Lytechinus pictus: one gene and its partners. The protein of the gene in region 1 binds, or shares a complex with, the protein of each later gene. Links are inferred from orthologs where the notes say so. Each region holds a gene or a part of one and is shown in the gene's direction. Other genes may lie near its edges.

Region 1 (7,981 bases):
AAAATGCCTTCGCCAGGGTGTAAAACGGAAACGCGCTCGCCGCATAATTCGATCCTCCGCGCATACAGTCGACAGATTGACAAAGAAAATATCGACAACAGATTACCCTGGAAATAACAAAGGTGTGAAATTAAGATAAATTCCCTATTTCTAAAAATTTTGGGGAATATGTCGAAATCTTTGAATTATGCCAGGTTGAATACTAGTACCCATACGGTATATAAGTGAGGAGAAGCGGGGGAGAAGCGTGGACCGGGTTCTGGAGACTGCGAGACGGCAGAACGCTACCCCGACAGAGCTCGGTTACGCCACAATACCATGACATGTACGATTATTTGTATTATGGATAATTATTTGTCTTTCGTGAACAGTGTTTTGTTAATATTGATTTGTAATATTTTACAATGTACCATTACTTTGAACTGAATGATTAATAAATATTATTACAAAAAAAAAAAGTCTATCGGACCCGCGGTCTATTTTCAGATCACAATATCAAAAATTTTCTGCTCGCATTATTAATGTAGAAAGATCCCCTATTACTCACCCTTTTCATGATTTACAAAACATGAGTATAGAGTGTCCCGTTTTTAGGTCTCAATCTTGAATTCTTCTGCTCAAGCATCAATTGTTTAGTTATACTTATATAGCTACCCTGTTCACGATTACAAAAATTGATTAAAAATTTCGATTCTTTTTGGCTCGCGATTCGTGCGTGCTAGCATATATTGATTGTTGAAATATGTAACGTCTTCATGGGTAAGTGCAAGCAGTCCTTAACAAGTACCTTTTCGATCGATTCAAATTAAACGTAAACTATATGAACGTTTTCTGGCTTCATTTCGCACTCGCATTATTAATGTAAGGACCGGGTGTAAGGAAGACCCCCAATTACTCATCCTTTTCATGATTTACAAAACATGAGTATAGAGTGTCCCGTTTTTAGGTCTCAATCTTGAATTCTTCTGCTCAAGCATCAATTGTTTAGTTATACTTATATAGCTACCCTGTTCACGATTACAAAAATTGATTAAAAATTTCGATTCTTTTTGGCTCGCGATTCGTGCGTGCTAGCATATATTGATTGTTGAAATATGTAACGTCTTCATGGGTAAGTGCAAGCAGTCCTTAACAAGTACCTTTTCGATCGATTCAAATTAAACGTAAACTATATGAACGTTTTCTGGCTTCATTTCGCACTCGCATTATTAATGTAAGGACCGGGTGTAAGGAAGACCCCCAATTACTCATCCTTTTCATGATTTACAAAACATGAGTATAGAGTGTCCCGTTTTTAGGTCTCAATCTTGAATTCTTCTGCTCAAGCATCAATTGTTTAGTTATACTTATATAGCTACCCTGTTCACGATTACAAAAATTGATTAAAAATTTCGATTCTTTTTGGCTCGCGATTCGTGCGTGCTAGCATATATTGATTGTTGAAATATGTAACGTCTTCATGGGTAAGTGCAAGCAGTCCTTAACAAGTACCTTTTCGATCGATTCAAATTAAACGTAAACTATATGAACGTTTTCTGGCTTCATTTCGCACTCGCATTAAGGACCGGGTGTAAGGAAGACCCCCAATTACTCATCCTTTTCATGATTTACAAAACATGAATAGAGCTCTCGTTCTTAGGTCTAAATCTCAAAATTTTCCGCTCGCGCTTCGCGTTCGCATCAATTGTTTAGTTATATACCTATTATATGTTTAAGTTACAAAAAGTGCTTAGAATTTCCAGTCTTTGGGTAAATTTTTTTAAAAAATTCAGCTCGCGCTCGCATTATTTTGATTGTTGAAATATGTAACGTCTTCATGGCCATATGGAAAACTAGCGGACAGAAGGTCCTCGCTGCACGCGCGCACCCTTATAACACGCAGAATTCCCTTGCATCATACCCTTTTTTCACAAACAAATGTGTATCAAGGACAAGCTTTGATTCAGATAGAATTTCCGCCCCCCTGAAATGAATGTTAACAACTTCTTCTATCAGATGACCATAATTTGTTTACATTCAGTTGGTGGGAAATATGGCACTTTATTACATTAAAATCACTCAAAACCATCCATAGTCAGGAATATGTATTGGGATAATGGGTTAGGGGGACATTTTTATAGTACCCGGGTGGATTACATCCGTCGTCACATCGGTGGGTGATGATATCAAGAATTTCCGCCCAGATTATAATAAAGGGCACATTGTAAGGCAAATACTCATGAAAGAACCATGGAGATTGGTTAATAAGGAAATAGAGCACTTTTATCATCAAATCAGAGGAGATTTTCTTTGTGATAGTGATGTCCGAAGAGCAAACCTACACTCGACGTCAGTGGCGTACCGTGGGTCATGGCATTGGGGGGGGCACTAGCAAAAATATTGAGTCACTTAGTGAGTGCGCGAAGCGCGCTCAGTTGCTAGGTATGCTGACCTAATAGAGACATTTAAAGGACAGTGTCATTAAACAGATATGTATGTCACTGGTCACATAATGCGAGCGCGAAGCGCGAGCTGAAAATTTTTGATATTCAGACCTAAAAAGGGACATTATAAGCAAATTTTTGTAATCATGATATGTACCTGTCTCGCTAAACAAACAATGCGAGCGCGAAGCGCGAACTGAAATTTTTATACATTGACCCCAAACGGACATTTTAGGGACTATATTTTAGGAATCTATTAAGAGTATACATATCTCACCATATAGTAATCTAATGCGAGTGCCAAGCACTTGCTGATTTTGTTAGAATTTTATGCATCCAAACACATAAATCACTTGTAGTCATTGTAATCATGACTAACATGCGCATCTCACTAATCAAATATTGCGAGCGCGAGCTGAAAATTTAGGAAATTCAGACCTGAAGAGGGTCATTTTAAGGCTTGTTTGTAGGAATTCACGAAGACCATACGTATTTCACTAACCAAATGAAGCGAGCGCGAAGCGCGAGCTGAATTTTTTTATATATTGACCCCAAACATGGATATTTTAAGGTCTATTTTTAAAAAGAATCCATTAAGAGTACATATATCTCACCATAGTCTTCTAATGCGGGTGCCAAGCGCATGCTGCATGATTTTGTTAGAATTACACCTAAAGACATACTTTTTGTAGTCATGATTATCATACGCATCTCACTAGTCAAATATTGCGAGCGCGAAGCGCGAGCTGAAAAATTAGGAAATTCACACCTGAAGAGGGGCATTCTAAGGCTTGTTTGTAGGAATTCACGTAGACCATGCGTATTTCACTAACCAAATGAAGCGAGCGCAAGCTGAAATTTTTGATATTCAGATCAGAAAAAGGGAAATTTTAAGGACTGATTTTAGGAATTCATGAAGAGCAGACATATCTCACTAATCCACTAATGCGAACATGAGCACGGACGGGAAATGTTTTATATTAAGACCTTAAAATGATATGTCACTACATAAAACAATTATAATTCGAAGTGCGAGGAAATATATTTGGTGAATTGACTTGAAAACGGGAGGTTTTAGTACAACAGGATTATATATCTCGTTAAACAGACGATGCGAGCATCAGGGACAATGAAGACATAGGCCCTGAGCAAATTATGTTTCATAAAGTTATGATATTTTTTTCATTTCTATTTAATATAACATGACATAATTATAATATAATATAACATAATTAACAATAATTTCTTCCTTCCCACTACGTTGCTCTCAGTTTCTCCCTCTTTTTCTCTTTTTCCCCGTTTTTTTTTTTTTTTTTTTTTGGGGGGGGCCAGCCGATTGGGGGGCACGTGCCCCCCATGCCCCCCGTAGTTACGCCACTGCTCGACGTGCATTCAACATATAGGGCTGGACAGAGATTTTTTGTACGTCGGTGTGTTGTTCGAGTCACAGCGGTTTTCTAGCTCTTTCCATTGCAGTGCTGAACATTTTATTAGGAATATATAAATATATATACCTTGTCAGTCCAAACTATGGATATAAATATATCCTAGCTTACCACTGCATAGGTAAGTCTAAAAAATAAGTTTTGTTTATTCCTGTCACTTTATAATGACGTTTTAAATCTTCAAACAACAATAATTTATGAAATTGACACAACAAATTACGCTGAAACATTATTTGTGTATACATTTTATCCCTCTGTAATGCTATATATTTCCCCCATAAAGCCGCAATGGAACATTCTGCACCACTAGTCATACGATGATCGCGAGGTCTGCAAACGTCGTCTGCTATGTTTTCACATGTCCGGTACACTATGCAAGTTTTCGATATGAACTGCAAGCAGTCTTTCATGTACCTTTTCCACCAGTTAACCTCTGCTCGCACTTTGCGTTCGTAGTAAATATTTACTTGCATATACATCTTTTTCAGGATAACAAACATTGCCCAGAATGTTCAAGTTTTAGGAAAAAATACATAAATTTGCCCAAAAAAATTATGCTCGCGCTTCGCGCTCGCATTATAAAAATAAGGACAATGATATTATATATCTATGTTGATTTATAAGAATAAAGCTAAAAAGTGACCATCGAGGACTACTCCTTCAATGAAACAGACAAAAATTACCTTCAAGCGGCCGATCGGGGATTAACATTTGGCTGAAAACATTTTTCGCCCCCCCCCCCTATTGGCGAAGGCTGGATCAGCCTCTGTTTTCCCCTCTACCTTTCGGGACAGATTTCCGCCCATGGTCTTCATAGCCTCCTCATAGTTATACATCCATAATAATTAAAATTAACTTTTAGAATTCGAGGAGTTAAATAATGTCAAGGAAGTCATGCTTTATTTCACGTCTATCCCCAATTTATATCACATCCTTTCCTACAATCCTACATCCTAATCCTCACGGAGAAATACAATTTCCCTGGCATCCCTTTTGTTTGCATCATTTCGGAGACGCAATACTCCATATTTGTTCTAGTCGCTATTATTGGTCGACAGTTTCAACGAGCCGCATACACACTTAGCTAGCTAGCTTTAGCTTTGTATCCGATATCCATACATTTAACATTTAACATGGCGCGTTACCTCATCAACGACGAAGTCTGTAAAAGTTGGGAGAAATGTGGCAGAAATGAGTTGTAAGTTGTCAATTAAATCAGACTTCAATTTATTTTTACACGAAATTTTTCATTTATACTCAGTCATAGGCTCTCCCATTCATATCTACTATGCCAGGCATAGTCTGGCGACAACAAATCATGGTCAATTCCACTCACGCTATTGTATGCGAGGACCGAACCTCGCACAATTCACAACCAACGACAACGTGTTTTTGTAGTGGATTTTCAGTCAGTCCGCAGCCCGTCCGAAAGTGCTCTATTTTATTCAGCGGTACCGGTATGCATAGCCGTCCGTGGTTATGCATACGTAATGAGCTGTGAAGACGAACTTTCCGATCGGTGTTTTTTGCTCTTAGAATCGTTTATTCCTCACATAATTGGTCTTATTTTATAGATAAAACTTTGAAATTTCTGATCAGCTAAATAAAATGCACATTTAATGTATTTTGAAGACCGATATTTAGCTTAGAAAAAATGATTTTTTTTCAAGAAATATATGTGAATAAACAGCGCATTTTTGCATCGAAATCACACTTGCGTCAAATTGATATTATATTCAATATAAAGCGTAGACATTCTTCTTTACGACTGAAAAAGAATTATGAAATTTCATGATGTAGCAAAGTCAGGAACCACAAAAAACCACGGCAATGTCCATCGCGAAATGATTGGAATTGTAGTAGAATTGCCGACGCGTTCTGATTGGTCAACAGCGGCGCACAGACTTACAACATTATATATAGCTTAAAAATCCTGGAAATAGTACGGAAGAGATCGATGGCGAATTGCGTGAGCTCTATGTTTTGACGTGTGCGCTATGTTTTGACGTGTGCAAGGACCCTGGTTCGAACCCGCCGGATTGTGTTTTTTTTTTTTTTTTTTTTTTTTGGGGGGGGGGGGGTTGATGGGGATATGTTTATGCTTTTTCTTTAAATCATATTCCTTCATCGTTCCTACCCAGCTTTATTCTCTTTTTACTTTCTTCTACTTCTTCTTAATCACTGCTTTTGATTTTCAAGTTCTTGATTACACCTATTTAGTATTTGGGCAGGGGTGGGAAGGGAAGTGAGTTAAAGGTCAAGTGCACATCAACTCATAAGTATTTGAATAAATACAGAAATTTCCCTGTTTTAACACAAAACAGTTATATACACAAAACAATGGTATGCAAATAGAGTTGATTATGTCACATCAAATTACTTTTTAAATTTTTGTTGCATTTTTATTATATAAATTTTAGCAAATTTGATGTAAAAAATCTTTCTCGAATCACAATAGGTTACGTTTATGGAAACTACGAATGTTAATGGAGGAATTAAAATCCCTCTCAAAATTTGTTAATGAAAATTAAAATAAAATATACATGTCATGTACATGTATCAAACAAAAAAATACACAAGAAATTAGAGTGCGTGTGACATAATCGGTTCTGTAATTTGCACATTGACCAAGATGAGCATATAATTGTTTTATAAAATTAGGCAAATTTCTCAATGTCAAAATAGTAATTTTTTGAATTTTGAATCATAGTTTTTATGAAATTCTCTGCAATACTTTATTTTTCTTTAAATTCAAATTAATTTTTTGGTGGGGTGGACTTCTAATTGTCTAAACATATGCAAATCAGTAATTCGACACATGCTCACTTTCCTTTCATCCAGGCCACTCCCTCACATCCAACAGGTTTACAGTCTTATAACAAAAATTATTAATTAATTATAATACCATCACACCATAGCTCCATGATCACACAACATTCATACAGTGCTTCACAACAAATATTTCACTTCTGTTCATATATGCAATAATTACTGTGGAAAACAAAAACAAGGCGTAACCACATTCAAATACCGTTTAAAAGGACAAATATATCATACCTTTCGAATAAAAAATTGTGAACATATATGGCACTTAACCTTCAGCACATTAGATAACATATAACACAGTTGCTTGAGAACAAAATATAATTATGGGGCATTGCAAGAAACTTATGTTCAATTGCAAATCAACTACATGTTTGTGTTTAATGAAAGGACATACCCTTAATTTTGGAATGTGTGATTGAGTAGAAAGTTTCTTGCAATGCATTAAAAATGTTCTTTCGTTTTGAATTGTGAATTTTTATTTATGTCAAGCTGTATTCCTGTCCAAGTCAGTATTCTTAGTCCTCCCCAAAACTGTGCTCTAATTTTTTTGTTTCCAATATCGATAAAGATCAATTTTCTGTTGTATCATTATCAGTCAAAAATTTGCAAACGAAAAAAGGGCTTTGTCCAAATCATGGTCTGACCTAAGCTTGTAACCGATTTTGCAATCGGCAACCGATTCCATTCGATTTCACCACAATCGGCAATCACTTGCCGATTTTCGATCATGCCCCTTGAAGGAAAAAATCGAAAAAAAAAATCGGCGTAGATCTGGTTACAGTGCGTGATCGCTCAGAACATATTTCAAGATTGTTTTTGAGGTGCTAGCTATTTAGAGGTCGCATTATTCAGGGAGAAAGACGCGGTATTATCTATGGCGATGTTTAAGAGGATAGATATCTTCTCCTCCAACTCATGGTGATAGCGGATGCCGCCGTGAACTTTGAAAGGTCGTATTACCGACGGAGCTCACTGCGTTACTCTCTTACATCGTTTATAATGATATAAATCTTCTCTTCAACCTCGTGGTGATAGCGGACCCCGCCATAAACTTTTAAAGACTGTACTATTGACGGAGCTTATTGCGTTACTCTCTTACATCGTTTATGATGATATGCATTTTATTTTCAACCTCGTGGTGATAGCGGATGCCGCCGTGAACTTTGAAAGGTCGTACTATTGACGGAGCTCATTGCGTTACTCTCTTACATCGTTTATGATGATTTACATTTTATTTTCAACCTCGTGGTGATAGCGGACCCCGCCGTGAACTTTTAAAGATCGTGC
Region 2 (7,719 bases), on another chromosome or scaffold:
CCTCTCTCTCTCTCCTTGTCTTCTCTTTATTTCCCCCTTTTCTTCTCTTTTTTCTTGTCTTCCTTTCTCCCTTTTCTTCTCTTTTCCCCTATCTTTTCTTTCCCACTTTTCTTCTATTTTTTCCCGTCTTTTCTTTCTCTCTTTTCCTCTCTCTTTTCTCTTTTTCTCCTTTTCCTTCTCCCCTTACTCTCTCCTTTTTTCTTCTCTTTTCCTCTATTCCCCTCTCTCTCTCTTTTCTTATCTTTCTTCCCATCTTCCTCTCTTTTTAAATATTATTCTCTTCCTTCCCCTTTTCTTTCTCCTTTCTTTTCCCTCTTCCGCTTTTTTCTTTTTCCCCCTTTTTTCTTTTTCTTTCCTTTCCCCCTTTTTCTCTTTTAATTTTTTTCTTCTCTCCCTCTCCTTCCCCCTCTCTCTTTTTCTTCTCTTCTTTTCCCCTCTTCCTCTCTCTCTCTCTTTTTCTTATCTTTCTTCTCATCTTCCTCTCTATTTAAATATTCTTCTCTTCCTTCCTCTTTTTTCTTCTTCTTTTTCCTCCTTTTCCTTTCTCCTTTCTTTTCTTCTCTTCCTTTTCCCTCCTCTCTTTTTTTCTCTTCTCTTTCCCCTTTTTCTTCTCCCTTTTCCCGTCTTTTCTGTCTCTCTTTTCCTCTCTCTTTTCTCTTTTTCTTCTCTTCCTTCCTCCCCCTTACTCTCTTTTCTATTCTCTTCTTTTCCCATCTTCCTCTCTCTCTTTTCCCCTCTTCCCCCTCTTTTTTTTGAGCTAGGGGTGAGGCAGTTCCCCCTCGGCCCCCCATGGATCCGCACCTGATAGAACCCCATGGTCTCGTATCATTTGACCTTTGGACCTCTCGATGACATTTGATACATCTGATCATAATTTTACACACACTGCGAACTATCGGACCCGCGGTCTATCGGACCCGCGGTCTATCGGACCCGCGGACTATCGGACCCGCGGTCTATCGGACCCGCGGTCTATCGGGATGTCCCCCTTCATCCATGACATGCAAAAAGTACAAAATTTCACTTCGTGTACTTCCCTTTATTTTGTGGGTACCATTTTAATCCTTTCCCCCAGTGATTAATTGATTACAGTGATTAATTTTATTATGTCACAATAAACCAAATTATGACAGTTTATGCACTCCCAAGAAATAGTGTTTACGGGCCGGCCGGTCTATCGTCTACACACAGACCACACAGACTTCGCACAGTTCGGTCAAGGCGGTACGCGTATCAAACGGTGCCAAATATACGGAAATTGTGAGGAGCGCTTTTCCTATGAAAGGAATTGATATGCATTATTAGGGCTTAAAACTTGACCAAAAAAGGTTATCGCCCCAAATTCGAGAATATGGACCCATGTTTAAGGCCAATATCTAACAAGGCAAAAGCAATTTTGTGTCTCGCCCACTTATGAAAATGACCAGAAATATCGTGATTTGCGAGGGCACGCAAGAGAATTATATCGAAACTTCATTGTGAAATGACTGGGATGGAATAACACTTGTCATAAGAGCCTTGTACATAAACTTTAAGGTTGACCTGCAAATGACCTTTGACCTTACCAGGTGACCTCTGACTGCAGCATAACATGCAGGTCCCCCAAGTCCATCTACCATCCAAGTTTGGTTGAAAATCGACTTACGGTTGTGGAGTTATGTGTCATTAGATTTGTGACGGACGGACGACGGACGACATTTGGATCCCTAAGTCTCGCCTTCACCTCCGGTGGGCGAGACAAAAATTGGGGGCATGAACCCATGTATCTAAAAGCAAGTATCTAAAAATTTGGGCCATGCATGTTTAGGGATTTTCCAGCATAAAACCATACCCCATGTTTAGAGATTTCCCGGAGATTTCTTCCAAAAGAGCGACCCATTTCAGCGGCACATCCCCGTATACCTTATTTCGTAAGTCCCCCCCCCCTCCCCTGGCTCTAATTGTATTCAAAATTTTCTGAACTCTTAAGATATTTGACTTGCACGTAATTAATTTCCTCGTAATTTTTCTCTTATGGCTCGACTGTATTGATCTTTTATTTTCACTTTGCCGATACCATAATAAGACTCGTGAAACGAAAATGTGTAGATTATCTATTATCTAAAAGTCAGATCCGACTTGAAGAGAAGCGATTATCACATAAAGGGTCGTAATCAGTCATGTGTTCATTGGAGTCAGGAAAATAGGGGGTGAGATTTGACGTAAGTGGGAGAAGTAGGTTGATGGGAAAAGGGTCAACAGAACATTTTAGCCCCCCTCCCTCTCTCTCGCCCTCCCCTTCTGTTGAGTGACTGATTTTTATTGTCATGTACGTGTGAAGTCCAGAGCAGAATGTTAATTTAATTAATTAATGATAATTAATTAATGATAATTGGGGCATCAACTTTTCCTATCAATCAACAATTTATCAATAAATCAACTATTTCAGTGGGCAATGTAATCAATCAAACGTTCAGTTTTTCAATAAAGTATTTCATAAATTATAATCAAGTCAATTTCTTGGTAATCATTCAATAAAAAGAAGAAAAAAATGACTATCAGCCACTGGTCACTTCAGTGGCAAATAAGTTTTGAATAGGCTACCATCCAGGAAGTGAGAGGGGTCTGGGAAATTGAGGGGGGGGTGGAGATACATAAGAATTTAATTTGTAAAATGACAAAAAGATGATGAATGCCCTTTCAACCAAGTCTTACCATATCTCGCCCTCTCGCTTGTAACAGGTACCATCACATTACTCCGACTCACAAAACACACTGCTTAGGTCTACAAGATGAATAGGCTACACTAAATTTACAATTCCTGTTCACTCAACCATCATTCTTACAAGATTCAAAAATCATATTTGTTGGGGAAAATCCAGCATAAGTGTTACCTTCCCCTTAAAAATCCCAAACTTAGGATTTTTTTAAAGAAGTCACCATGCAATCAAATTTTGCCTCATTGTGATGTCAACCATACGATAAATAAGACATAAGGAGAAAAATTCGTCCATAATTGACATCGTATACAATTATGTTACCTGGTTATTGATCATTCGTTCTCTGTATATGAGGTTCATGGGTCGAATCGCGAACCAACTAAAGAGAGTTGCAGCTCCGTAATTAGCTTGAAGTAGAAGTTCGCCTTGGTGAGAAACACTCATGAAACTGTTCAGTCTAGGACATACCTTTAATTTTCAAATGAAATTCAATCTCGACAAGCATGCCCCTTCCCCCACTGTCATGCCATCACAATCGCCATAATCATAATCATTGTAATCATCAAAACTAGGATTATTATCATAATTAATCTCAGCACCTTCATCACTGTCATTATCACCGTCATCATCATAAAACATTAATACATTCATCATAAAACATTAATAAATCATCACCGCGGGCGGCGGAGCAGAGGATATATCCTTTGTTCATAGGGTGCATCATTATTATGTTTATAGATTAAAAAACAAAAAAATGTTATTATCGTCATCATTACCACCGCTTTCATCCTCATCCTCCTTATCCTTCTTCATTATCACCAACATCATTATTACCATCACCATTATATCATCCTCGATCATCATTCCGTTTTCACAAACGCTGACTACTTGTAGTAGTTCCGTCATTGGACAATGTGGTTTGGGAGGATTCATTGGGGTCAAGAAAGCACAATTAGAGATTATCAGAGATCGTTGCGTAACTTCAGTTGAAACGGATTCTTCCTATTGTTAGTTGTTAATTGTAATTTTCACACCTTCTTTGTTCGCAACACATGCGAGACGGTGTAGTTAATCGAACCCATTCAAGTCGCTCCGGGGCATTCACTTCAAAGCTTCAAAGGGACTTTAAGAGTTATCTTTCCTAAAACGAAGTAAATCAAGTGCATTGGGGTCTTGAGAATAATTTAAACAAATTCTTGACCACTACGAACTACTCAAAGAACGAATAACAAAGGAGATTAAGAACAGAACATGACTGGGAAATGGGAATGGATGAGGATTTCAATAAGTTGTATGCATAAATACGAATGCTAGTACCCATGAGCATTGGAGGATGCAGGCGGGGGGGGGGGGGCACAGTCGGTCCATGCCCCCTTTTGAGAAGCAAAATAAAAATTTATAATGTAAAAATGCAAGTCAATCTTCATCATTTCATAATTTCAAATCAATACTCGTTTCTTCATCATTTTGAGTTATTTTAAGAAATATACAAGTAATTTGCTCAGCCATTTCATGATATTAAGAGAAGTCATAACAAATATTGAATAATGAACATTGCTTTATCCAAGTTTCCATCCTCATTATTTTGCGTTCCTAATGCCTCGGTCATATTTGCTCTACGGCGGCCGTACGGTGAGTCGGAAACACCTGTTTTATCCATTTTTATTCAGACCACGTGTTTGTAGCTATTACAACAAAAAAATGTTAAAACGGTTGTTTTTGACTCGCCGCACGGCCGTCATAGAACAAAATTAGTGGGTTTTCGCCCAGCGTCGTACGACGTAGAACGTACGTGTGCAAAAATCGCCAACTTTCATGGAAACAGAGGCCCGAGCGTTCTTGAGCTCAAATCACGGACGGTTCTTCCGCAAATTAGCGGGCGTCCGCATTAGAACGTAGGATTTGTCAACAGCCGTCAACAGCCAATCAGATCGCTTGTAGAGCGAGCAAGCTGAGCCGATCGATGTAAACACATTCGCCCATCGCGTGCATGCACATGTTGTACTCTACTCTGACTACACTGATAGCTGAAAGCTTCAAAACATGGACTCGAATGCGATTTTTTCGGTGAGTACCATTTCAATTATACTAAAATCAAGCTAAGTATAATTTCAAAATGTTACAGTAGAAGTTTAAACGAGTATGATTATTGAAATATGATTGAAAAGCCGTTGCATGGCTCGGTCGACGACGCGACTGCAAGACACATGGCACTGCCAGTTGTGTGCACATAGTAGGAACATATACAATGCACATGTTGGCGTGTCAACATTACATGCCAACCATGCCAGCCGGTGGATCCGGCCGCGTTCAGCGATTTGCGAAACTGCTTACAAGCGAGAGTTGAGCGCGACGGACGCACGAACAAAGAGATCGTTCTACGTCGTAGATAGCGTCGTACGACGCTGGGCGAAAACCCACTAATGACCGAGGTAAGGTCAGGGAATGTTGCAGGAGTTCACCCCCCCCCCCCTCCACTTAGATAAAAAAAAAATTGCTTGTAATTTTTTTGTTATGAAAAGACCTAATGGGGGGGGGGGGGGAGTGAAAACCTCTGTCAAATTTTCATTGAACTCGAACTCTACCTTTCAAAAATTCTGCGTAGGCTACTGCAAAAGCTAGAGCTATTGGAGCTATACGTAGCGTAAAGAGAATTTTGTTTCATAGCGGCAAAGCTCTGCCTCAAATACCTTGTATTGTGTATGCTTGCGCGCACATGGTATCTATCAAACTGATATTAAGCGTGCGGGTATACCGCAAGAACGATACTGAGTCGTGACTAAACTTTTCTGAGGACTAATTCGGAGGAATCAAGTACAAGTGACAATGCGGCCGTATTTGTCAGCGCTTTTGGAATTGTTATAGGCACGGTTGTAGTCACATCTTCAGGAGCGAACAGAGCTCTGCAAGCTGATTCAGTGGGTCCAGCGCCTGTAGACGTTGTGCGCGGTCGCCGCGGTTGATCGAACGCTTTGACGGATCGCATTTTACTTCCGCTGGTAGCCAAAACTAAATTTATTTCCCTTTCCATCTTTGTCAGGAATTTACGGGAATTATATACATATTTTTGGAAGCTCACATCATCAGGTACTAATACCTTGGTCACATTTGCTCTAGGGCGGCCGTACGGCGAGTCGAATGCAGCCGTTTTATTCATTTTTATACAAACCACATTATGTAGCTCGTACATAAAATGTTAAAACGGCTGTTATTGACTCGCCGTACGGCCGCCGTATAGCAAATGTGACGAAGGTGTAAGCATGAATAAGCGATTCGCCGGAGCAAAATTTTTGCGTCCAGGTTCTTGTCCCTTTGAATACTTGTCACGCCTTCCAACCAATTAATTACGGCACACATCGTCATTCATTGTACTAGTAGTTGCACCCTCACAACATTTCACGGCAAACAATTGAGATAAGGAACTTCTCTACACGCGCCAATAAATTCCTCTAGGCTTGCCATCCCAATGCCCGGGAACAATAGAAGTGCCAGAACGCGACTGCACGGGCTCGTTATGTCACTCCGCGATGATCGCAAGGGTGCTCTATTGATATGCAAATTCAACCTCATTAACTTCGTGGCGTGCAAGCCCGTGCATGAAAAGTAATGAGGGCGTGCAAACGCGTTTGCACACCCCTCCCGGATATTGACGTCCCGCCTTATGAATGAAGAGAGAAAGATCAATCATGCATTCTCACTGCAAGTTTCATTGAAATTGAACATCAAATAATGAAAGTTATTGTATTTTTAATTTTCTCTTATTTTCACAATACATTTCTTGACATCAAGACATCATTGACTCTCATCTTTGCTTATCCCCTGTGTAAAGCAAAACCTTTGAGTATATTTATTCCTCATTTCTACATGTTTCATTAGGACCTTGATGCTGGAGATATAGGGGAAGAAGAAGAAGCTGTTGTCACAAGAAAAGTAGAATTAGAAATAGAAGAGGAGGAGGAGGTGGAAAGGGAGGTCAAAGCACCTGAAATCAAGAAGGTTATCTCACCTACTGCTAAACCAGTATCAGATGTCGAGGTAAGAGTGATCAAGCAATAGATCGGAGATACACGCATTTGTTAACTATCATGGTTAAAACCTTAGAAGGGGGGGCTAAAACAGAGACGCCAACTAGTACTAATTTTCAGTATCCAGTACTGAACAATGAGAAGAATACTGATGGTTTCATGCAAAATACTGGTTTCTTAAGATTCCGTTTATGAGTTGGCCTACGGTATTTCTTTGAAGCTACTTATTTCCTCACCAAAATACAGATTTTTGTCTCGCCTGCATAGCAGAGCGAGACTATTAATAGGCGCCGCTTTTCCGACGGCGGCGGCAGCGTCAACATCAAATCTTAACCTAAGGTTAAGGTTTTGTAATGACATCATAACTTAAAAAGAATATGGACCTAGTTCATGAAACTTGGCCATAATGATAATCAAGTATTACTGAACATCCTGCCTGAGTTTCAGGTCACATGACCAAGGTCAAAGGTAATTTAGGGTCAATGAACTTAGACCATGTTGGGAGAATTATTTTCAAAATCTTAACCGAAGGTTAAGTTTTTGAAATGACATCATAACTTAGAAAGTATATGGACCTAGTTCATGAAACTTGGGCATAAGGTTAATCAAGTATTAGTGAACATCCTGCTCGAGTTTCAGGTCACGTGACCAAGGTCAAAGGTCATTTAGGGTCAATGAACTTTGGTCAAGTTGGTGGTATTTGTTGAATTACTATCATAACTTTGAAAATTTATGGATCTAGTTCATGAAACTTGGACATAAGGTTAATCAAGTATGAGTGAACATCCTGCCTGAGTTTCAGGTCACATGACCAAGGTCAAAGGTCATTTAGGGTCAATGAACTTTGGCCAAGTTGGGGGTATTTGTTGAATTACCATCATAACTTTTAAAATTTATGGATCTAGTTCATGAAACTTGGACATTAGGTTAATCAAGTACCACTGAATATCCTGTGCGAGTTTCAGGTCACATGACCATAGTCAATGGTCATTTAA
Region 3 (8,062 bases), on another chromosome or scaffold:
TACTCGTTCTACTTTGCTTACCAATTCATCACTTGTTCACTGCAACCACCCTGCCTGTGGGGAATCTACAGGTTGGACTATGGCATGCCAATGCTGTACAGAGCACACACTTTAAAAAATGATTAAAATATCACTTTTGTGACCAAAATTACTAATTTCCGTACAGTTGCAATTTATTTTTCATTAGTAACTTGGGAATAATTTTTGTATTCACTAGAGCACTCAAAAACTTGAATTTTGGGCATATTTTTGTGTACGCCCTCTATTGGTGGAAAATAATTATAATATGGCAAGAAAATTTTCATTTTTTATCACTATTTCTAATTAAGAAAAAAATAATTTAAAGAATCAAATTTACTTAAGGGCCAAGTTGTATGACGAATAGGTGTAATGGAAACTGTCAGTGTAATTTGTAAAAAAATCAAGCATTTGTCCCCAAGAAAAAGAGAAAATAAGCCAAACATTGCCATCCTTATTTTGCCACACATGGAGATATATTTTAACTGAGAACAAGGTTATAATATATCACAACCTTGTTCATTGAATGAGCATGATGAGTGCCAATTCATAAGACAATAACAGTTCATGACCCTACCATTCATTGCCTACTCAATAATGAGAACATACCCTCTTGCTGCCTGTAAACTTTTGATCAGTTTCTTGATTTTCCATATTTCGACATTCCTGTCAGCTGCAGTTTCCTCCTGTGCAGACATCTTTCTCTTATTCTGTTCCTACTCCTTGTCTCTCTTTCTCCAATCAACACTCTTGTTCACCAATAATTAGTTCCACTAACAATAACAAGACTAAAGTGTTGATTTATATTATCAGATTTGGCAAGGTTGTTGCCTAGCTTTGAGTGTGCTTATTTATTTGCACACGTTTGGCCTTCTGCAGATCTATTCAATGCAATTCCAATGCCGGTTGGTTGCAACAAATGAATGAAACTCAATCAATGGCCCCAACACGCTGTATCGACAACAGCGTGTGGCTCGTCTTGAACTGTATATTTGAAGTTTAACAGTACAAAATTCCACGATCAAACCTATTCAGGATCTTGGTCGATTAACTTCAAATCAGTTCTGTTCCAAAATGATTTGCATCGAAAATCAAGAATATGAAACAATCGCCTTTCACAATATGTTGGACACAGCACGTCTTGATATTTCGCCCATGTGATGAAAGTTCGCGATTTCCAAATAAATGCAATATGTATACGACTCAACCGGAAGTACGTATAGGTCACAACGATAACTTACGAGGGACTTACCGGGGACATAAATCATTCTGAAACTAATATTCGTTCTTATTTTCCATATAAAAATCATAGTAAAAAGAAAGAGATTATTGAAATACGATGTCATTAAAATAAACGTGATTTTATAAGTTAAACAATGTGAATTAATCAACACAATATATCTCTCGTAGAAAGAAACCCCATACAATTTAATGGATTCGTCCATTGCCCTCTATTTCACCTTTCTTTCATCGTAATGGTACATGGTACCGTGATAACTGATATAATATATTTTTTGGCCAGGAGAGATCCATCAATGCTGATATATGCTAGAATAACTCACTTGCTTTCAATTAAAGATACTGACTATCCTAGCTCTCATCTCCCATTCCCTTTTAAGATATTTCTTTTAATTCATGATTTCTTTCTCAAATCGCAAGTATTTTTTTCCTGATTGAGCAGCCTCGATCTGGTGAGATGGTAGGTCAGCAGTGATCTATTTTAGTGGTAGAGACGTCATCTTCTAATCCAACTTTTCGGAAGCGCGCGCTCAGTCGCGCTCGACCGCTTTATAGAGAATGGTTGAAGACTTGACAGACTTGAGGTTAATAAAAATTGTTGGAGGTCTAGGGGCATATTGTAAAGGCCTATATATTCAAATTTAGATCAGCACAATTCAGCGCTAAACATTTTCAGAAGGCCCGGTCAAAAAGGTTTAGAAAGGGCCAGGAAATGGTTTTCTAAATAAATTAGGAAAAAGTTTTGAAAACATAAAGTCGCCGCGGTAGGCTAATGTTCTATTGAAAAAAAAAAACAGAAATCTAGTTGGAACTTTTAAGTTTTAACCCATGGGTTAAAACTATCGAGGTTTCATGATAAATTGCTATTATCATGAAACCTCGATTATATGGCCATTGTGCCCGGCGTTTATATGCTCCTTTGCAAGTATCCTTTTTTGTCTCTCGATCATAATTATATTCTCAAACCCTCAAACATACTTTTTAATATCATTTACATAGAAAAAATGAGTCATTTGTATTTGATTTTTGTTATAAATTCATATAATTCACATCAATAAAATAAACTCTTTATTAAACTTTTTTGGCTGCACGGATTTCTTTTTTTTTTTTAAGGCATTGTTTTTATCAGAGACCAAAAGTCTTACCCCAACAACAATTTGAATTGAATATATAAACAGGAGGGATAAAAATGAAACAAGCAAAATATTGAAAATTCCATTAAATCGGAAGAATTTTATTCAGCCGAGTGAAGAGAATTTATTGAAAGTATGAATATCATGTGTGTTTGTTATAAAACGGTATACTTTGGGGACAGAGGGGCCTGTACGTATATATGATAAAAAGCTTTTTTTAAGGATTTGGATATTTAAAATGGAATTTGAATAACATCGGGGAGACTTACTTTACCTCTTTCTACGTTTCTCCAGTTTTAGACCGTCCAATTTCATATAGGAGTCATTTGGATTTATTTATGTGCATTTAAATTCACACGTAAACGTTTTCCCGAAGAGCAGACAATGGGATTCATTTAAAGACACTAGAATTCATTTATAATCATTAAAAAAGCTATGGTCAATACAATTTCAAATTTGATCATTTCAAAATGTGTCATCAGTGATTTAGATTTCGTTCTAAGGCAAAGAGGTTCGCTAATGGTCTTACAAATTAACGAATGTACTTCTTAATTTTGGGCAATGTCGGAAATTCAGAAATTGCGCAATCAATAAATAAAAAATGACCGATACCTTGAGCAACCAATTTCATTTTTGAGAGTTCAAATTAATGATGCGCAAATCGTTTGTTTTGCATGGCATCTGTATGCTCATAATATGTGTCTAATATTAATGTATAAACATGTGTTTATAATACAATCAGAATTGTTTGAATTGTGGCTATTTGTTTAGCCCAAATTTGAATTTCCACAATATCCTTAGTTTTCATCATAAAAACAATTTATATTGCATCTTTTGCAACTTTTGCGTTTCCTTTACAAAGGTGTTAAGGGCTATTCTATATATTCTTCCTTTTCACCCGACAATGCTGACTGTGTGGGCATTTCCATTGATATTTACTTTCTTCTTTTTTGTTCTTTTCAAGTTTATTACAAGTCCCAAGGGCGGATCCAAGATCTTCCAAGGGGGGGGGGGCATTTTGTACAGAAAAAAAATGAGAACCTGAAAAAAAAACTACAAAATCGAGTTTGTGCAATTAAGGAAAAATTTGACAAGTAAAAAATGGGTCCCCAAATTGCCTATGCATGACACATTCCAGCAAAAAAAAAAACCTAATATTTTGTGCCTCTCAAAAGTGGATCCACCGCTGACGTGTCCCTGTATGATAATACTTTCAACTCTAGTCAATTTCATGGGTGATCATCTGTATGTCAAATTGTCAAGCATGACGGATTTGGAAGGGAATTGGAAGGGGCCTATATGGCTCCATTCCATCAATCCGCGGTGCCTTTATTCTAGGAAAACATTATTATTCTATAAAGTACATTTTATAACAGGAAAAGTAGACCTATGAATGCCCATTCCTTTAATTGCATGCTATTAATAAAAATGCACCAATTCGGGTGATACACTTACTAGAAGAAGAATATTTTGCAGAGATAATGAACCAAAAGTGCGGGAAAATGGTTATCCTTGCGAATTCGTTAAACATATTATGCTGCTTATCTAAATTCTCAGTAGTGACTTGTTTGATAGTTATTTTAAGCGGAAAATACATTCAAGTGACAAGTAATGAAATACATTGACAAATAACCGAGGTGATCATGGCTAACGCAAAATTAAATTAAATTAAATTACATTATTTAGATGAAATTGAGCGGGAAAACCTATCATTCATCTACCGTCCTCTCTCTTAGGTTTATTATAGGCCTAGTCTTCCTATCTGACCATGCATGCATTTCTGTACCCTTCTTTGTTTTTGTTTATATAAAAAAATATAGGCCCTATATAACAATGATGATGATGATGACAGTGATGAGAGTGCTGATTGTGATAATTATCGTCATCATCATCATCATCCTCATCATCCTCCTCCTCATCATCATCATATCATCATCATCATCATCATCATATCATTATCATACTTACTTCTGGATACTTATGGAACAACTGAACGAAGTCATTATGACTCTGCATTCAGTTTCAAATTCCTTCTCCTCTTTAGGTTGGCCGGATCATGTCCTGGTGGGTCAGTGTCAAACTTGAACTTCACTGGTTCACATCTTGTCCAGTCCATTCTCAAAGACACTATGGGGGCATAACTAATTCATTACTGAGACTATTCCATGGTTTTCTCATTCTAATGTAAAAAGATTTCTTTTCTTTTTTCAGTGACTGATCTTAATGAGATAAACAATTATTTTATCATGACCTCGATAGTCCCATGCAACTGACCCAGATCTGGCACTACTCCTGCATGGAACTTGTAAGTTTCAATCATATCCCCTCGCGCACGGCGGTATGTCAAAGTAGGGAATTTAGTTCAGGATCAACCTTTGTTCGTATGGAAGTTGTTTGTTTTTTGGTTTTTTTAACCTCATAATCCAATTTAGTGGCCCTTCTTTGTACATTTTCTAGTGCATGAATATGTTTCTTCAAGTAGGACTCAATACGGCATGTGCATACTCTAAATGTGGTCTAATCATCACCGGGCATCATCACCATCATCATCATCATCATCATTATCATCAATGACGAGAAATAATGGGTCTACGATACATTCACCTTTTCAATAGGAATCCCCAAATTAGCGTACCATACATCAAGATGGCAGCTTCCACAGAAAACATGATTAAAAAACATTTCGAGAAGAATTGTCGAACAAAAGAACATAATGGGGTTCACTCATCGAAAGTTCACTCTGTAGCATGGAATTGTGATGGCACTATGCTTGCATCCGGATCGTTTGATAGAAATGTTTGTGTCTTTTCGCTGGATAGAGATAGGATGGTGAGTTATGTCTGAATATGACTGACTGCCGATGCCGCGCCGTGTCGCGTCGCTGCACTCTTAATCTTATCTCGCTAACCCAGGCCCAGGGAGCACCGGCCCGCTTGGCCGATTACACGAAAGGGTCTTGCAGGACCAAGCCCAAGGACCGTCTTTCGTGTCGCCCATCTTTTATTATTCGCTATATGCGGGATATTTCTGAAATGTATGATAAACAAATAAAATTTGTTAGCTAGAATTAAAATCAATTTGTATACAATTCAATTCATGATTTTCGATTCTCGTGTGTTCTCAAAGTCATGGCTCATGCCATGGAATTTTTTTGCTGTCTACGATACCCCTGCCCACCTAGCCAGGCGGCTTCTACTATAGTACTAGTTCTAGAGAGTAAAAATCATTTACTAACGTAAGGTTACTCTCATACGAAGCCAGGCCTTCTATCTCATAGACCCACACAAAGGAAGCCAAAACCTGAAACTTTCACCTCCGAGATTTCTACTTTCCTTCTAAAAGATCTAGCTCTAAATCATGTACATGGGATAAAACTTCATTTCCGACATTTCTACGTTCTCGTTGTTATTTTTAAAACAAGAATTCATCAAAAAAATGAAAAAATATTGTGAAAAGACGGAAGAGACTTGCCCGATGTTTACGCCGCCATCTTGTTTCTTATTGTACTTCCCCAACGTTACGGAGGAAGAAGATGATGATTTGTTTTGATCTCCGACATAATCGGAGGAAGGAAAAGAAGATAATGACGTTGCAGCGCGCGACACTATCCGAAGTTGTTTCTGATGATATTCACTTTCTCTACAAGTTACATCGTAGTGATGGCGGAGGTAATCGTAAACCCTTAGAGGACGCATGACTTACCGAAATAGACGCACTATTATCCTAAATTGTTTACGATGATATTCTTCTTGTCTTGTCTTGTCTTTCCGTTAATGCCCACAATCATTACAATGATTATTATGGCATATGAACGTCAAGATTGACTTGACCTTCACCTTCTCTACAACATCATAGTGATGGCAGAGGTGATCGTAAAACTCTTAGAGGACGCATGACCTACCGAAATAGACGCACTACAATCTGAAGTTGTTTCCGATGATATTGACCTTCTCTACGACATCGTGGTGATGGCGGAGGCAATCGTGAACTCTTAGAGGACGCATGACCTACCGAAAAAGACGCACTATTATCCAAAGTTGTTTACGATGATATTCACCTTCTCCCCAACATCGTAGTGTTGGCGGAGGTAATCGTAAACTCTTAGAGGTCGCATGACTCACCGAAATAGACGCACTACTATTCGAGGTTGTTTACGATGATATTCACCTTCTCTACAACATCGTGGTGATGGCGGAGTCCGTCGTGAACTTTTAGAGATCGCATTACTTACCGAAAAAGACGCACTATATGGATGAAGGTCTATCTAAACACAGAATCCTGACATTGAGGCACAAACTTGACCCTCAAAAAAAGGAAAAGTTACATCTAACTTTAGATCTAGATCCTCTTTGTTGCGTTTTTATCTCTCGCTTTCAAAATTGAAAACAAAATGGCCGATTGATACCGTGAACGAACGCGAGAACTAATGGTCATACATGTATTAGGCACAATTGAATAAGACATTTTAGGAATTAAAAAAATGAATAAAATAGATTAAAAAAGGATTAAAATTTGTTTGAGACAATTTGATTGCTCAAGTTATAACTGATATCAGCATCAATAATAAACTGTCAAACCGTATGTCAAAATTATCTAGTTTGCTTTAGTTTAGTTAGAGTTAATGTGGAAGTAGAAGAAGTGGAATTCTTTTTTTTTAGACCCTACTTGTCTCTTCGGGACAAGTCTGACTCTGAGACCCGACCAAGTTCTTTGCCATTTTCAGTTATTTGACATTGATATCCATGATAGCAGATGTTTAGCATTTAAATAAATTCAAGGCGCAAATCAAAGTTTTCTGCTATTTTCACAATTTCGAAGTTTTGTATTTTTTGATATTTTTGCCAATTGCCTGCACATGGATCTAATGGCATGCATTTGCCATATTGCTAAGTTTTTTCCTAAGCAGAGGTGCAGCATGCGATCAGCAACAGCAACAATATTGAGGGGAAAAAAATTGATAGAGCAGGGCCTTGATTAATAGCTTGAAGCTAGAAGTTCCTAAAGTAAGTCAAAGTAGTACATCCCTTATGATCCCTGTAATTCAAGATACATGTGAACTTGCAAGTTGTATAAAGTAGACCTTTCTTTAAGTTGAATATTCACCCAACTTGAAGCACTTTTTAGACCGGATTATGCAAAACATGTACTCGTATTCCTCGTTTAAGTCTAGATTGTGGGAAAGGTACTGGTACATGGGCCATCTTTATTGCAGATTATTTGTTGAATAATTCTGAGAAAGACCCATGGTCAATGCACCCATTCAAGGCAAGTGAGGGAAGGAATGCTTGCCAGGAATATTGCATTCAATGGAAACAAAATCAAATCTTTCTTCATGTTCAACTACAGATGATTCTTGTAGACAGCACATAGTTTTCTTGTTATGAATTTTTCTTCACCGTAGACCAGAGAAGCAACGTACAAGGGTCATGTCGGCAGTGTGGATCAGTTGTGCTGGCATCCCAGAAATCCAGATGTGTTTGTGACCGCATCGGGAGACAAGACGATCAGGATATGGGATACCAGGTCTGCCAAGTCTATATCAACTATAGCTACAAAGGGTATGCTCAACTATTTTTGATTTAATTTTAGCTATTTCATTCTTTTTTTTACACTGACCCAAAGGAAACCAATATGTTTGGTCTTTTAATCATGTTTGAATAATAATAATAATA

Evidence for each region. Proteins that work in one complex are often made in the same cells at the same time.
Region 2: THO complex subunit 2-like (region 1) and SAP domain-containing ribonucleoprotein-like share a complex: the UniProt entries of both Homo sapiens proteins name them as parts of the transcription/export (TREX) complex. The link is inferred for Lytechinus pictus from reciprocal best matches to the Homo sapiens genes THOC2 and SARNP.
Region 3: the proteins of THO complex subunit 2-like (region 1) and THO complex subunit 3-like are in contact, whole or in part, in a cryo-EM structure (PDB 7ZNL), measured with the Homo sapiens proteins. The link is inferred for Lytechinus pictus from reciprocal best matches to the Homo sapiens genes THOC2 and THOC3. Residues at the interface, in NP_001075019.1 of Homo sapiens: Tyr395, Arg396, Pro401, Lys402, Gly403, Ala404, Lys405, Gly406, Ser407, Pro446, Ile447, Ala450, Arg454, Cys500, Asn501, Ala502, Cys503, Met504, Glu506, Pro563, Arg566, Gln567, Lys570, His573, Tyr603, Leu604, Thr605; in NP_115737.1 of Homo sapiens: Asp193, Met196, Ile208, Val217, Gln218, Asn221, Ala222, Pro224, Ser225, Ala244, Asp245, Ala246, Leu247, Ser249, Trp251, Asp252, Asp254, Glu255, Leu256, Val257, Cys258, Val259, Cys261, Ser263, Leu265, Asp266, Pro268.

Annotation. Positions count from the first base shown.
Region 1 is NW_026974140.1:1,412,847-1,420,827, reverse strand, and holds the start of THO complex subunit 2-like, read left to right. Parts: upstream 1-4,916; 5' UTR 4,917-5,001; coding exon 5,002-5,066; intron 5,067-7,981. UniProt on the Homo sapiens protein: Component of the THO subcomplex of the TREX complex which is thought to couple mRNA transcription, processing and nuclear export, and which specifically associates with spliced mRNA and not with unspliced pre-mRNA.
Region 2 is NC_087257.1:27,960,310-27,968,028, forward strand, and holds the start of SAP domain-containing ribonucleoprotein-like, read left to right. Parts: upstream 1-4,666; 5' UTR 4,667-4,742; coding exon 4,743-4,766; intron 4,767-6,575; coding exon 6,576-6,734; intron 6,735-7,719. UniProt on the Homo sapiens protein: Binds both single-stranded and double-stranded DNA with higher affinity for the single-stranded form. Specifically binds to scaffold/matrix attachment region DNA. Also binds single-stranded RNA. Enhances RNA unwinding activity of DDX39A.
Region 3 is NC_087256.1:25,213,920-25,221,981, reverse strand, and holds the start of THO complex subunit 3-like, read left to right. Parts: upstream 1-5,009; 5' UTR 5,010-5,036; coding exon 5,037-5,219; intron 5,220-7,791; coding exon 7,792-7,948; intron 7,949-8,062. Other genes in the region: eukaryotic peptide chain release factor subunit 1, read right to left, coding at 628-716. UniProt on the Homo sapiens protein: Component of the THO subcomplex of the TREX complex which is thought to couple mRNA transcription, processing and nuclear export, and which specifically associates with spliced mRNA and not with unspliced pre-mRNA.